Linked DNA regions of Pelodiscus sinensis. The protein of the gene in region 3 purifies or fractionates together with the protein of the main gene of each other region. This does not show direct contact. Links are inferred from orthologs where the notes say so. Each region holds a gene or a part of one and is shown on either strand. Other genes may lie near its edges. The genes, in order: POLR3G, POLR3GL and POLR3H.

Region 1 (3,748 bases), on a different chromosome or scaffold from region 3:
GCTACATTTCAAAGCAGAAGAGCCCTTATCGACTAATCAAATAGTTGATGGAAATTCCATCGATTATTCAATTAGTTGATTAATCTAATTTTAACCCTAGTCTCTAAGGTGCCACAGGCCTACTAGTTTTTAAAGTTATACACTAAAGGCTACGTCTAGACTGGCCCCTAATTCCGGAAAAGTCATGCAAAGCAGGTAAGTCAGAATAGGGAAATCTGCGGGGGATTTAAATATCCCCCGCGGGATTTAAATAAACATGTCCGCCGCTTTTTTTCTGGCTTGGGGAAAAGCCGGAAAAAAGTGTCTAGACTGGCGCGATCCTCCGGAATAAGGAGGAAATAAGAGATCCTCCGGAATAAAGCCCTTTTCCGGAGGATCTCTTATTTCCTCCTTATTCCGGAGGATCGCGCCAGTCTAGACACTTTTTTCCGGCTTTTCCCCAAGCCAGAAAAAAAGCGGCGGACATGTTTATTTAAATCCCGCGGGGGATATTTAAATCCCCCGCGGATTTCCCTATTCTGACTTACCTGCTTTGCATGACTATTCCGTTTTATGGGGCCAGTGTAGACGTAGCCTAACATAGCTACACTCCGAGACTGGTGTTTATTTTTTAGTTACAGCAAATTTAGACATTACTTGTAACTCTCCTAGCTGCAGAAGTTTCTTAGTAAAATGTAACTTTCAAGTTGTCATTGTCCCTATTTAGTGTCAGTACTACAGCTTGAACATAAAGACTAATTATTACAGTTTCCATACACAAATACATTTTGCTGATTTACATTTATGCAGAACAAACCTTGTTTTTCATCTTTGCTTGGCATAAAATAAGGCGTATTTTTCATACTTCCTCTAAATTCTTGCTTCAAGGCCAACATATAATCTTCTTCTTCTCCCATTTTCAGAGGCACTGGCTTAAAACCTGTTGACTGTGTAAATTAAGGTACATAATTGCATTAATATCCATCACATACAGCAACACATAAAACTACAGAAAAAATGCCTCTACTTATGGAGGAGTTCAATTATGTATTATACTAGTTTGCAAATATGTTTCACTGCATTCTGACAATATGTTCAGAACTTTATAATGCATATTTTTCAATTAAATTGTAAAAAGGATTTCTTTCTTTTTAATATATCCATCATGAAAACCTCTATTAGGAAAGGAATAAAACAAGAAATATCTAAAACATTTTTAACATAAAAACATAACATTCTAATTCAATTGACTTTAGGTCAGTGAAGGTGCACATCACCATTCACTCCACCCGCCCCCCCTTTCAAATGTCTCAGGCTAGCTGACTTGCTCTGAAGCCCTTACTGCTGCTAACTTCAGTGAGAGCAATTTCAACAACACCACTTCCCAAAATATGGTTCAATCTATGCTAAACATAATTAATCTGACCAATATTTTAATCATGTTAGTTATCTCCTGGACAGCAATACAATTTAACAGGTCTCAAAAAAAAAATCATCCCACTGTGGCCTTGTCTAAACTAGAGAACATGGGATCTGTAAAGCTCTCACAGTGCAGCTCCAAGACAACACAGTGTAAACACCTCAATTCTTATAAACGGTCTCTCTCTGCTGTTGAGATTTCTATCTCTGGGAACACACAGAGACGTGGATTAGCTACTTTCAAAACTGATTTATTAGATTTTTTCCATCCATTTAACGGTTCATTACCTAAATATGAACATGAAACACTTTGTTCAGACATGCAACTTGTTCTTAAAATGAAGCTTGTTCTCTTTACTTACAGGAAACAACGGAGGGGGCTTGAATGCTACTTCAGGTAGCGTTTCACCTTTGGAAAAGCCAATAGCCTCGATGTTGAAAGTAAATGCAGCACGTCCTCTTCCTTTTCCTGACCCAGCCATTTGGAATTACTGAAAATATTATTAGATTCTAGTTGCATCACAAAAAATAAAGCCAAAAGTAAGATGGAAAAAAGTCAAAGACTGAGAAAAGGTATTTTTACATTGCAAGTGTCATACCAATGATGATCTCCAGCTTGGAAAAAATGTGGGTCTGTCTAGAAATCAAATGGGACTCCAGACTCCATTTTTAGCTATTAATCAAACATGAAGGCGTTTTAAAACTGAGACTGTGGGAATTTAGTTCTGTGGGGCTGGGCGCTCAGTTCCAGGCACAATTTTAAAAGATGGGAACACGTGTCAGCCAGCTCCACCCCCGGCGACGCTGCCGCAGCCCGCAGTGGGGTGGGGCGCCGCGCAGGCTCCTCCTGGGGGCGGTGGCTTCGCAGTGCTGGGCTCGCAGCGGCCCGGCATGTCGGCGCTGGAGTGGTACGCGCATAAGCCCCTGGGCGGCGGCATCTACTGGATCCAGGAGCGGTTCTACGAGTCCGGCAACCGAGCCAACATCTGGCTGGTGCGGGGTTCGCAGCGCGACGTAGTGATCGACACCGGCCTGGGGCTACGCAGCCTGCCCGACTACCTGCACTCGGCCGGGCTGCTGGGGCCGGGCGCCGGGCCCGGGGAGGCGGAGGAGGCAGCGGCGGGAGGGGGCAGGAGGCCGCTGCTGGCCGTGGCCACCCATGTGCACTTCGACCACGCGGGCGGGCTGCACCAGTTCGACGAGGTGGCGGTGCACAGCGCCGAGGCGGGCGCGCTGCTGCGCGGGGACAACTACGAGACCGTCACCTGGCTGTCGGACAGCGAGGTGGTGCGGCCGCCCAGCCCCGGCTGGAGCGCCCGGCAGTTCCGAGTGCAGCCCGTGCAGCCCACCCACGTCCTGCAGGAGGGTAAGGGGCGGGCGGTCAGCGCTGGGGTGGGGAGCGGGGTATGTTCATGGCGGGAGGGCAAAGCTGCACAGACACTCCATAGGGCACCTGCCCTATTGGGGGTGGGGAGGCATATAAGGCGGGTGAGTTGGGCATGTGTATACGTGCCTGTGCTTACACTTAGGTCACTAGCTGCTACGTGTCTGTGTGTAAGTCAAGTGGGGCTGGGGTGAGTTGTGCGTCTCTGTCAGACAACAGTATGTAGGTGCATCACTGCGAGTTGGATCTGTACAGTACTTGAGGGGGGTACTGGGTGTGACAGTACATCGGGGTATGTCTGCCTTACCGTCTGTGGGAAGGAGTGCATATGCTGCGTTTGTGTCTAATCAGTGCGTGTCCATAGATGTGCATGTTTCAGATCTGCATCTTTAACTTTGGGTTGTGCAAAATGCTTCTAGACTGAACATCGGTTTATATACACTGCGTCATGTTTATTTGTATCTAAATATATATATATCACTTTTATAGTGTTAGTATATTGTACTTGAATCTAAAACAATTTTTATGTAAAGGGGTATCCTCACTGGATCTGTTATGCTACATTCCACATTTGTGATCTATGTTTGTACCACATATAGTAATCAGTTAATTTATAATAAGTGATCAGGATGTATGTTTATAGTGCATGTACATCAGTGTATTTCAGGATTCAGCTAAAAGGCTTGAATTTTTTGTTGTTGTTGCTTTGGGTTTGTTGGCTTTCTATGCCTGTCCAAAGATCTTACTTAATACTACTAACACTATAAGTCTGAAAGAATTTTGATTTTGGTGGTAAGTATCAGGGGGGTAGCTGGGTTAGTCTGAATATGCAAAAGCAATGAGGAGTCCTGTAGCATCGTATAAATTAACAGATTTATTGGCCGCATAAGCTTTCTCCCATGAAAGCTTATGCTCCAATAAATCTGTTAATTTATGACTATAAGGTGCCACAGGACCCCTCGTCGC
Region 2 (3,748 bases), on a different chromosome or scaffold from region 3:
GGTGTACAGTCCTGGCCCCACAGTGCACAGGTCAGCGCTGAGGGTGTACGGTCCTGGCCCCACAGTGCACAGCTCAGAGCTGGGGGTGTACGGTCCTGGCCCCACAGTGCACGGCTCAGAGCTGAGGGTGTACGGTCCTGGCCCCACAGTGCACAGCTCAGAGCTGAGGGTGTACAGTCCTGGCCCCACAGTGCACAGCTCAGAGCTGGGGGTGTACGGTCCTGGCCCCACAGTGCACAGCTCAGAGCTGAGGGTGTACAGTCCTGGCCCCACAGTGCACAGCTCAGAGCTGAGGGTGTACGGTCCTGGCCCCACAGTGCACGGCTCAGAGCTGAGGGTGTACAGTCCTGGCCCCACAGTGCACAGCTCAGAGCTGGGGGTGTACAGTCCTGGCCCCACAGTGCACAGCTCAGAGCTGAGGGTGTACGGTCCTGGCCCCACAGTGCACGGCTCAGAGCTGAGGGTGTACAGTCCTGGCCCCACAGTGCACAGCTCAGAGCTGAGGGTGTACGGTCCTGGCCCCACAGTGCACAGGTCAGAGCTGAGGGTGTACGGTCCTGGCCCCACAGTGCACAGGTCAGAGCTGAGGGTGTACAGTCCTGGCCCCACAGTGCACGGCTCAGAGCTGAGGGTGTACAGTCCTGGCCCCACAGTGCACAGCTCAGAGCTGAGGGTGTACGGTCCCGGCCCCACAGTGCACGGCTCAGAGCTGAGGGTGTACGGTCCTGGCCCCACAGTGCACAGGTCAGCGCTGAGGGTGTACGGTCCTGGCCCCACAGTGCACGGCTCAGAGCTGAGGGTGTACGGTCCTGGCCCCACAGTGCACAGGTCAGAGCTGAGGGTGTACGGTCCTGGCCCCACAGTGCACGGCTCAGAGCTGAGGGTGCACGGTCCTGGCCCCACAGTGCACGGCTCAGAGCTGAGGGTGTACGGTCCTGGCCCCACAGTGCACGGCTCAGAGCTGAGGGTGCACGGTCCTGGCCCCACAGTGCACGGCTCAGAGCTGAGGGTGTACGGTCCTGGCCCCACAGTGCACAGCTCAGAGCTGAGGGTGTACGGTCCTGGCCCCACAGTGCACAGGTCAGCGCTGAGGGTGTACGGTCCTGGCCCCACAGTGCACAGCTCAGAGCTGAGGGTGTACGGTCCTGGCCCCACAGTGCACAGCTCAGAGCTGAGGGTGTACGGTCCTGGCCCCACAGTGCACGGCTCAGAGCTGAGGGTGTACGGTCCTGGCCCCACAGTGCACGGCTCAGAGCTGAGGGTGCACGGTCCTGGCCCCACAGTGCACGGCTCAGAGCTGAGGGTGCACGGTCCTGGCCCCACAGTGCACGGCTCAGAGCTGAGGGTGTACGGTCCTGGCCCCACAGTGCACAGGTCAGAGCTGAGGGTGTACGGTCCTGGCCCCACAGTGCACAGGTCAGAGCTGAGGGTGTACGGTCCTGGCCCCACAGTGCACGGCTCAGAGCTGAGGGTGTACGGTCCTGGCCCCACAGTGCACGGCTCAGAGCTGGGGGTGTACGGTCCTGGCCCCACAGTGCACGGCTCAGAGCTGAGGGTGTACGGTCCTGGCCCCACAGTGCACGGCTCAGAGCTGAGGGTGTACGGTCCTGGCCCCACAGTGCACAGGTCAGAGCTGAGGGTGTACGGTCCTGGCCCCACAGTGCACAGCTCAGAGCTGAGGGTGTACGGTCCTGGCCCCACAGTGCACAGCTCAGAGCTGAGGGTGTACGGTCCTGGCCCCACAGTGCACGGCTCAGAGCTGAGGGTGTACGGTCCTGGCCCCACAGTGCACGGCTCAGAGCTGAGGGTGTACGGTCCTGGCCCCACAGTGCACGGCTCAGAGCTGAGGGTGCACGGTCCTGGCCCCACAGTGCACGGCTCAGAGCTGAGGGTGTACGGTCCTGGCCCCACAGTGCACAGGTCAGAGCTGAGGGTGTACGGTCCTGGCCCCACAGTGCACAGGTCAGAGCTGAGGGTGTACGGTCCTGGCCCCACAGTGCACGGCTCAGAGCTGAGGGTGTACGGTCCTGGCCCCACAGTGCACGGCTCAGAGCTGGGGGTGTACGGTCCTGGCCCCACAGTGCACGGCTCAGAGCTGAGGGTGTACGGTCCTGGCCCCACAGTGCACGGCTCAGAGCTGAGGGTGTACGGTCCTGGCCCCACAGTGCACAGAGCCGCGCCCAGAGCCCACAACCAGGCCCTGGCTACACAATGCAGGGCCCTTTGCCCACGATCCACAGCGGGCAGAGGGCGCAGGGCCCCGCCCCGGCTGCACAACGCACAGGACAGGAGCTGCAGCGGGGACCCGGGATCCGCAGCAGGGCCCGGGCGCACCGGAGCAGGGCCAGGGCTCGGTGCCTCTGATTATCCACCCGGGCCCCGGGGAAGGATTCGTATGGGCGGGGCGCCCTTCCCCGCCTCCCATTGGGCCGCCGCGCACCGGACCGAACCGAATCAGCGCTTTACCCGGGTCGCGCCACTCGGGCTGGAGCCTCCCTCTCCGACTCCACGTGGGTTCTTTCCGCCCGGAAGCTAAACGGATACACAACGTTCCGAAGGGGCGGGGCCCAAGGCCGGCTGCTCGCCGCTCATTGGTGTGCACGGCGGACAATCAAAGGACGTAAGCTAAGGGGCGGAGCCAGAGGGGTTTTTTTCGGGTGGGGGGGGGAGACGAGAGAACGAAATAAGGATGAGCGGGAGAGAGACAGGAAGATGGATGGATGGGCGGGTGGAAGAAATAGACAGAGAGAGAGAGAAGCTGGGGCGGGGGGGGGGGGGGGAGGTGCAGCGTTCCCTGCACAGTCCAGGAGGGTCTTCAAGCCCCCAGCTCTCTTTCTGCCCCGCCAGCCAGGGCGCTGTAACCCCCTGGGGGAGGGGAGACCATAGGCTCACACACTCCTGCTGAGCGCGTGTGTTGGGGTTAGGGTAGCCAAGGGACCTGCCCTGTGCTGGGCTGGGAGTGCCACAAAGGGGGAAACACTCTGATTTCCTATTGGCGGGCTAGTGAAGTTACCGCTGTCCTTGCGAGACCTCCCCCAGCTGGCTGGGCCTCTAGAACAGGGCTTCCCTGTGGTGGCCGATGCTATAGCCTGGTGTGACCTGGAGCCGTCTCTCAGTTTCTTCTCCTGCCGTACTTTTCACCCTAACAGCCAATGTGCCTTCTAATGTTTTCCATCCATGTGCAGGATACATTTTGTTCTGTGCTCCGAGGCATGTGCAGATGTGCACCACCCAGAGAAACACCTGCTGCCGGCTGTAGGTGCTCTGCTAATCAGCGGGGCGGCATCTGAATCCCTCCTGGGTGGCCGACCCAGCACACAGCTCACAGGGAGTCCTGCTCGCAGCTGAGCTTCATGCACAGAGCCTTGATTCCCAACTGGGCCCCAGTTCTCCTGGCCAGAGCCAGAGCTGAGCTCGCCCGTTCCCCAAGGCAGAGGGCCTCCTACCTGAAACCAAAGGGCATGAGAGCAAAGGGAGCTACGGCCTCTTCCACTGGGGCAAATAACTTACACGTCATGAGCTAAGATCCCTGTGAGCTGCGGCTGTGCAGTTGCCTATTTAGCGCCGTCCAGGCACTCAATGAAGCCATGCAGGCCAGGGACCTGCGATAGCAGGAAAAGGGCTACCCCACCCCCCAACTAGCCCACCATCCAATCGGTTGGGACCATCAAGCTCCAGTCAGGACCCTGCCACTGGCATTGTGGCCCCAACGTGCCTCCTGGCTATGATCCAGTGCCCTGGGCCCGGC
Region 3 (3,748 bases):
AGTCATGGGCTCTTCCGGTCAAGCAACATCTTTTCTTCACAGTGCAGTGCCTAGCAACAGGGCTCCTAAGCACAATACTAATACAAATAACATGACAGCTCAGAAAGAGCTCATCTTCAATGCTGAGGATATATCCATAAGACAAGACCAAGTGTTAGAGAGGAATTATGCCCTCTGCTGGCTTTGAAAGGAAGATCTCCTGAGAGAGCATGATTAGAAGGGGGGTTGGTTGGGTGGTTCTTAGCTCATCTATCAGAGGGGTAGCCGTGTTAGTCTGAATCTGAAAAAGCGATGAGGAGTCCTGTGGCACCTTATAGACTAACAGATTTATTGGAGCATAAGCTTTCATGGGCAAAGACCCACTTTGTCAGATGCATGTAGTGGAAATTCCAGAGGCAGGTATAAATATACAGGCATAAGAAAAGAGTTCCAATCAAGAGTAAGACAAGAGATAACGAGGTCAATTCAGTCAGGGAGGATGAGGCCCACTCCTAGCAGCTGATGTGGAGGTATGAACACCATGAGAGGAGAAACTGCTTTTGTAGTTGGCTAGCCATTCAGTCTTTGTTTAATCCTAAAACGATGGTGTCAAATTTGCAAATGAACTGTAGCTCAGCAGTTTCTCTTTGAAGTCTGTTCTTGAAGTTTTTTTTGTTGCAGGATGGCTACCTTTAAATCTGCTACTGTGTGTCCAGGGAGATTGACGTGTTCTCCTACAGGTTTTTGTACATTGCCATTCCTGATATCTGATTTGTGTCCATTTATTCTTTTACATAGGGACTGTCCAGTTTGGCCGATGTATATAGCAGAGGGGTATTGCTGAAACATGATGGCATATATTACATTGGTAGATGTGCAGATGAATGAACCTGTAGGAGAACACTTCAATCTCCCTGGACACAGAGTAGCAGATTTAAAGGTAGCCATCCTGCAACAAAAAAACTTCAAGAACAGACTTCAAAGAGAAAAAGGTGTGTACCTCCAGGGCCCTAGCAGCAATTTAAAGGGCTCAGAGATCTGACTGCTTCGGAGGTAGCAATGCCAGTGGACAGAAGCCCTGGGCCCCTTTAAATTGCCAAGTCTTGAGGCATCTGCCTCTTTTTCACGCCCTTCCACACCCCACTCACCTTTAAGTGGAATAGCAAAAACCTTGTTTTCCCCTTATTAGGGACTTTTTAAATTATTTCCCCAGGCACGTGGCACCTTGAGAAATATGGAACATGGCAAGAATAAGGGGTCGCTGCCAGTGCAGCCTGGCACAAGTTTTTGAGTCAGACCCATGGGTGAAGAGGGCACTGAGCCCGTCACTCTGAGGTTGTGTCTACATTGGCATAATCTTGCGCAAAAGCAATTGCTTTTGCGCCAAAACTTGCTGCCTATCTACACTGGCGGGGAGTTCTTGCGCACGTACACTGACGCTCTAATGTGTGAAATCAGGGCTTCTCGCGCCCGCTCAGGGATAAGCCCTCTTGTGCAACTGTTCTTGTGCAAGAGGCCAGTGTAGACAGGCAACATGAATTACTTGCACAGGAAAGCCCAATGGCTAAAATGGCCATCAGAGCTTTCTTGCGCAAGAGAGCATCTACACTGGCACGGATGCTCTTGGCAAAAGCACAGGCCAGTGTAATAGCCTGAGGGTTTCACTTCAGCCCCGGGCACGTGGCACAAGCGGGGAACACTCCCCAGCTGCACTGGAGGGGTCGCTGGGCAGGGCGAGCCCTGGCGATGCCCCGCAGCGGGGAAGCCGCTACGACCGGGCCCCGCTACCAGCCTCAGCCTCGCCGGGCAGGGTCGCCGGGACAGCTGGGCTCGTGCAGCGCAACGGCGTTAACGGCCCGGAGTCAGAGCGCGCGGACCCGAGCTCCCCCCAGTCACGTGACCCAGCATGAACATCCATTCCCCCCCCCTCCCCCCGTTCCAGGGTTACTAAGGAACCCGCGGGCGGCCCTCCAGCGAGACTGGACTCTATGATGCCGCAATGCATGGCGGGATACACCGGCAGTTGCCGGACGACCAACCTGGTTTCTCCCCAAGCAGCCTGCCTCTTTGACATCCCCCGCACCGACCTGTCCCACGTGCCAATAAGCAGCGCCCAGCCCCGGCAGCAGATAGTCCCGCACGCCGCGGCTGCCTCCCAGCTACTAGCCAGGTGACTTCCGGTGCGTGGGCCAATCGCCTTTCAGGGGCGGGCCGAATGGGCTGATTGACACATGGAGTTTAGCAGATGACCAAGGGGTGCCCCGAGCCGGGCCTAGCTCCGTGGTGGAGCTGGCGCGAGGTTGCGTCCTTTTGCCCCTGGACCCAGCACGTTCGTCCCCCGCCTCCCAGTCTCGCGGGCGCCAGGCTGGGGCAGCCACGCCACGAGCTAGCCCCGCCCCCTCCCTCCGCGCTGGTGCCGGCTGGGGGAGCCGGAAACGTGCGTGCGGGGCGGGGCGAGAAGTGTCTCGGGCGGGGTCGGCCCCGGCAGCCAGGCTGTCTCCGCCCGCGTTGCACTGTCAACAGAGCAGCTGCCGCCCCCACGTGTCACCCGCCGGGGGGGTGTGGCAGGGCAGCGCGCGGGGAGCCACGCCAGGGCTGTGGCTGACCCAGCCACGGGGAGGGGACCTCGCTAGGCCACAGGAAAACAAATTACAGGCCCCTCTAGCTCAGTAATTTTTTTGCGGGGGGGGGGGGGGGGTGAAGAAATATTTACCATTGAAATAAACGGACACAATGGAGGCTGGGCTTAGGCAGCTGTGAGACAGTAATTGTAGGAGCAACAGGGTCCCCTGGTGCTAGTTAGATGCAGTTCCCAAAGACAAGCAATATACAAACGCGTCAGAGGGGTAGCCCAGTTAGTCTGTAACCGGAAAAACTTTAAAAAAACAACACATAGAGTAGTTAGTACCACCTAAAAGACGAACAAAACATGTACAATACACTTACAAACAACAAATACTCTGGTAGACTTTAAAGACTAACAAAACGTGTAGATGGTATCATGAGCTTCTGTGGGCGCAACCCACTTCTTCAGATGACTGGAGTGTTAAAAGTCCAGATCCAAGAATAAATAAGGGAAGAGGGGGGGAAAAAAGACAAAAGGCTGGGTAAAGAAAAAAGAGAGATAGTGAGTAGATCAGTGGTCCCCAACCTTTTGGGGCCGCGCATGCGCCCGGGGCCCGGTACGCAAGAATGGCTCGGGCCAGCCCCGGTCATTAGGTGGGCGCACATAAATGCCCTGGCGGGTGCCATGGTAACCACAGGCACCCTTGGGGACCACTGGAGTAGATGGTTCAAATAATTTCAAGAGGCTGATAAGAACAATTAGCACCTCCATTGTTGGGTTGGTTGGTTAAGTCATTCAGATGTGGAAGGTAGTGTGCCAGCCAGCTGATGTCCCTGTTCATCCATTTGCATAAGAATTAAACTTGTAAATGAAGTTAAGTTCCAATCCTTCCCTGTATTTGGCTTGTGGAATTGGTCTGAAACAATACGGTGACTTGGAGATCCATTAATGAGTGTTAATGGATTAAAGTGTTCTCCAACACTTTAATCCAGGCAGAAGTTTGCGTTGGGGGGAAGGTTGGGTACATAATGAGCAAGGTCAGTAACGTGATGCCCAGTGTGCTGAGCCCAGTGTGCTTATTCCATGCCTATAACCAGTGCAGTGTTCTTTTGTGTGATTTATTTTGCTAATAAATTCAGTTTATTTTATTTATGCTGCCATAACTTCAACATGTCACAGTGTTTGCTACTATTTCCATTATAT

The links.
Region 1: the proteins of POLR3H (region 3) and POLR3G purify together in Homo sapiens (affinity purification with mass spectrometry; 5 studies listed by BioGRID and IntAct, with this or other methods). This does not show direct contact. The link is inferred for Pelodiscus sinensis from reciprocal best matches to the Homo sapiens genes POLR3H and POLR3G.
Region 2: the proteins of POLR3H (region 3) and POLR3GL purify together in Homo sapiens (co-immunoprecipitation; 4 studies listed by BioGRID and IntAct, counting the BioPlex papers as one, with this or other methods). This does not show direct contact. The link is inferred for Pelodiscus sinensis from reciprocal best matches to the Homo sapiens genes POLR3H and POLR3GL.

What each region holds. Positions count from the first base shown.
Region 1 is NC_134716.1:74,581,393-74,585,140, forward strand, and holds the start of POLR3G (DNA-directed RNA polymerase III subunit RPC7), read right to left. Parts: upstream 2,273-3,748; 5' UTR 1,982-2,272; exon of another isoform or gene 1,890-1,981; 5' UTR 1,881-1,889; coding exon 1,761-1,880; intron 927-1,760; coding exon 797-926; intron 1-796. Other genes in the region: acyl-coenzyme A thioesterase MBLAC2, read left to right, coding at 2,290-2,764. UniProt on the Homo sapiens protein: DNA-dependent RNA polymerase catalyzes the transcription of DNA into RNA using the four ribonucleoside triphosphates as substrates.
Region 2 is NC_134734.1:19,893,822-19,897,569, reverse strand, and holds the start of POLR3GL (DNA-directed RNA polymerase III subunit RPC7-like), read right to left. Parts: upstream 2,558-3,748; 5' UTR 2,467-2,557; intron 1-2,466. UniProt on the Homo sapiens protein: DNA-dependent RNA polymerase catalyzes the transcription of DNA into RNA using the four ribonucleoside triphosphates as substrates. Specific peripheric component of RNA polymerase III which synthesizes small RNAs, such as 5S rRNA and tRNAs.
Region 3 is NC_134711.1:89,046,514-89,050,261, reverse strand, and holds the start of POLR3H (DNA-directed RNA polymerase III subunit RPC8), read right to left. Parts: upstream 2,319-3,748; 5' UTR 2,067-2,318; exon of another isoform or gene 2,019-2,066; intron 1-2,018.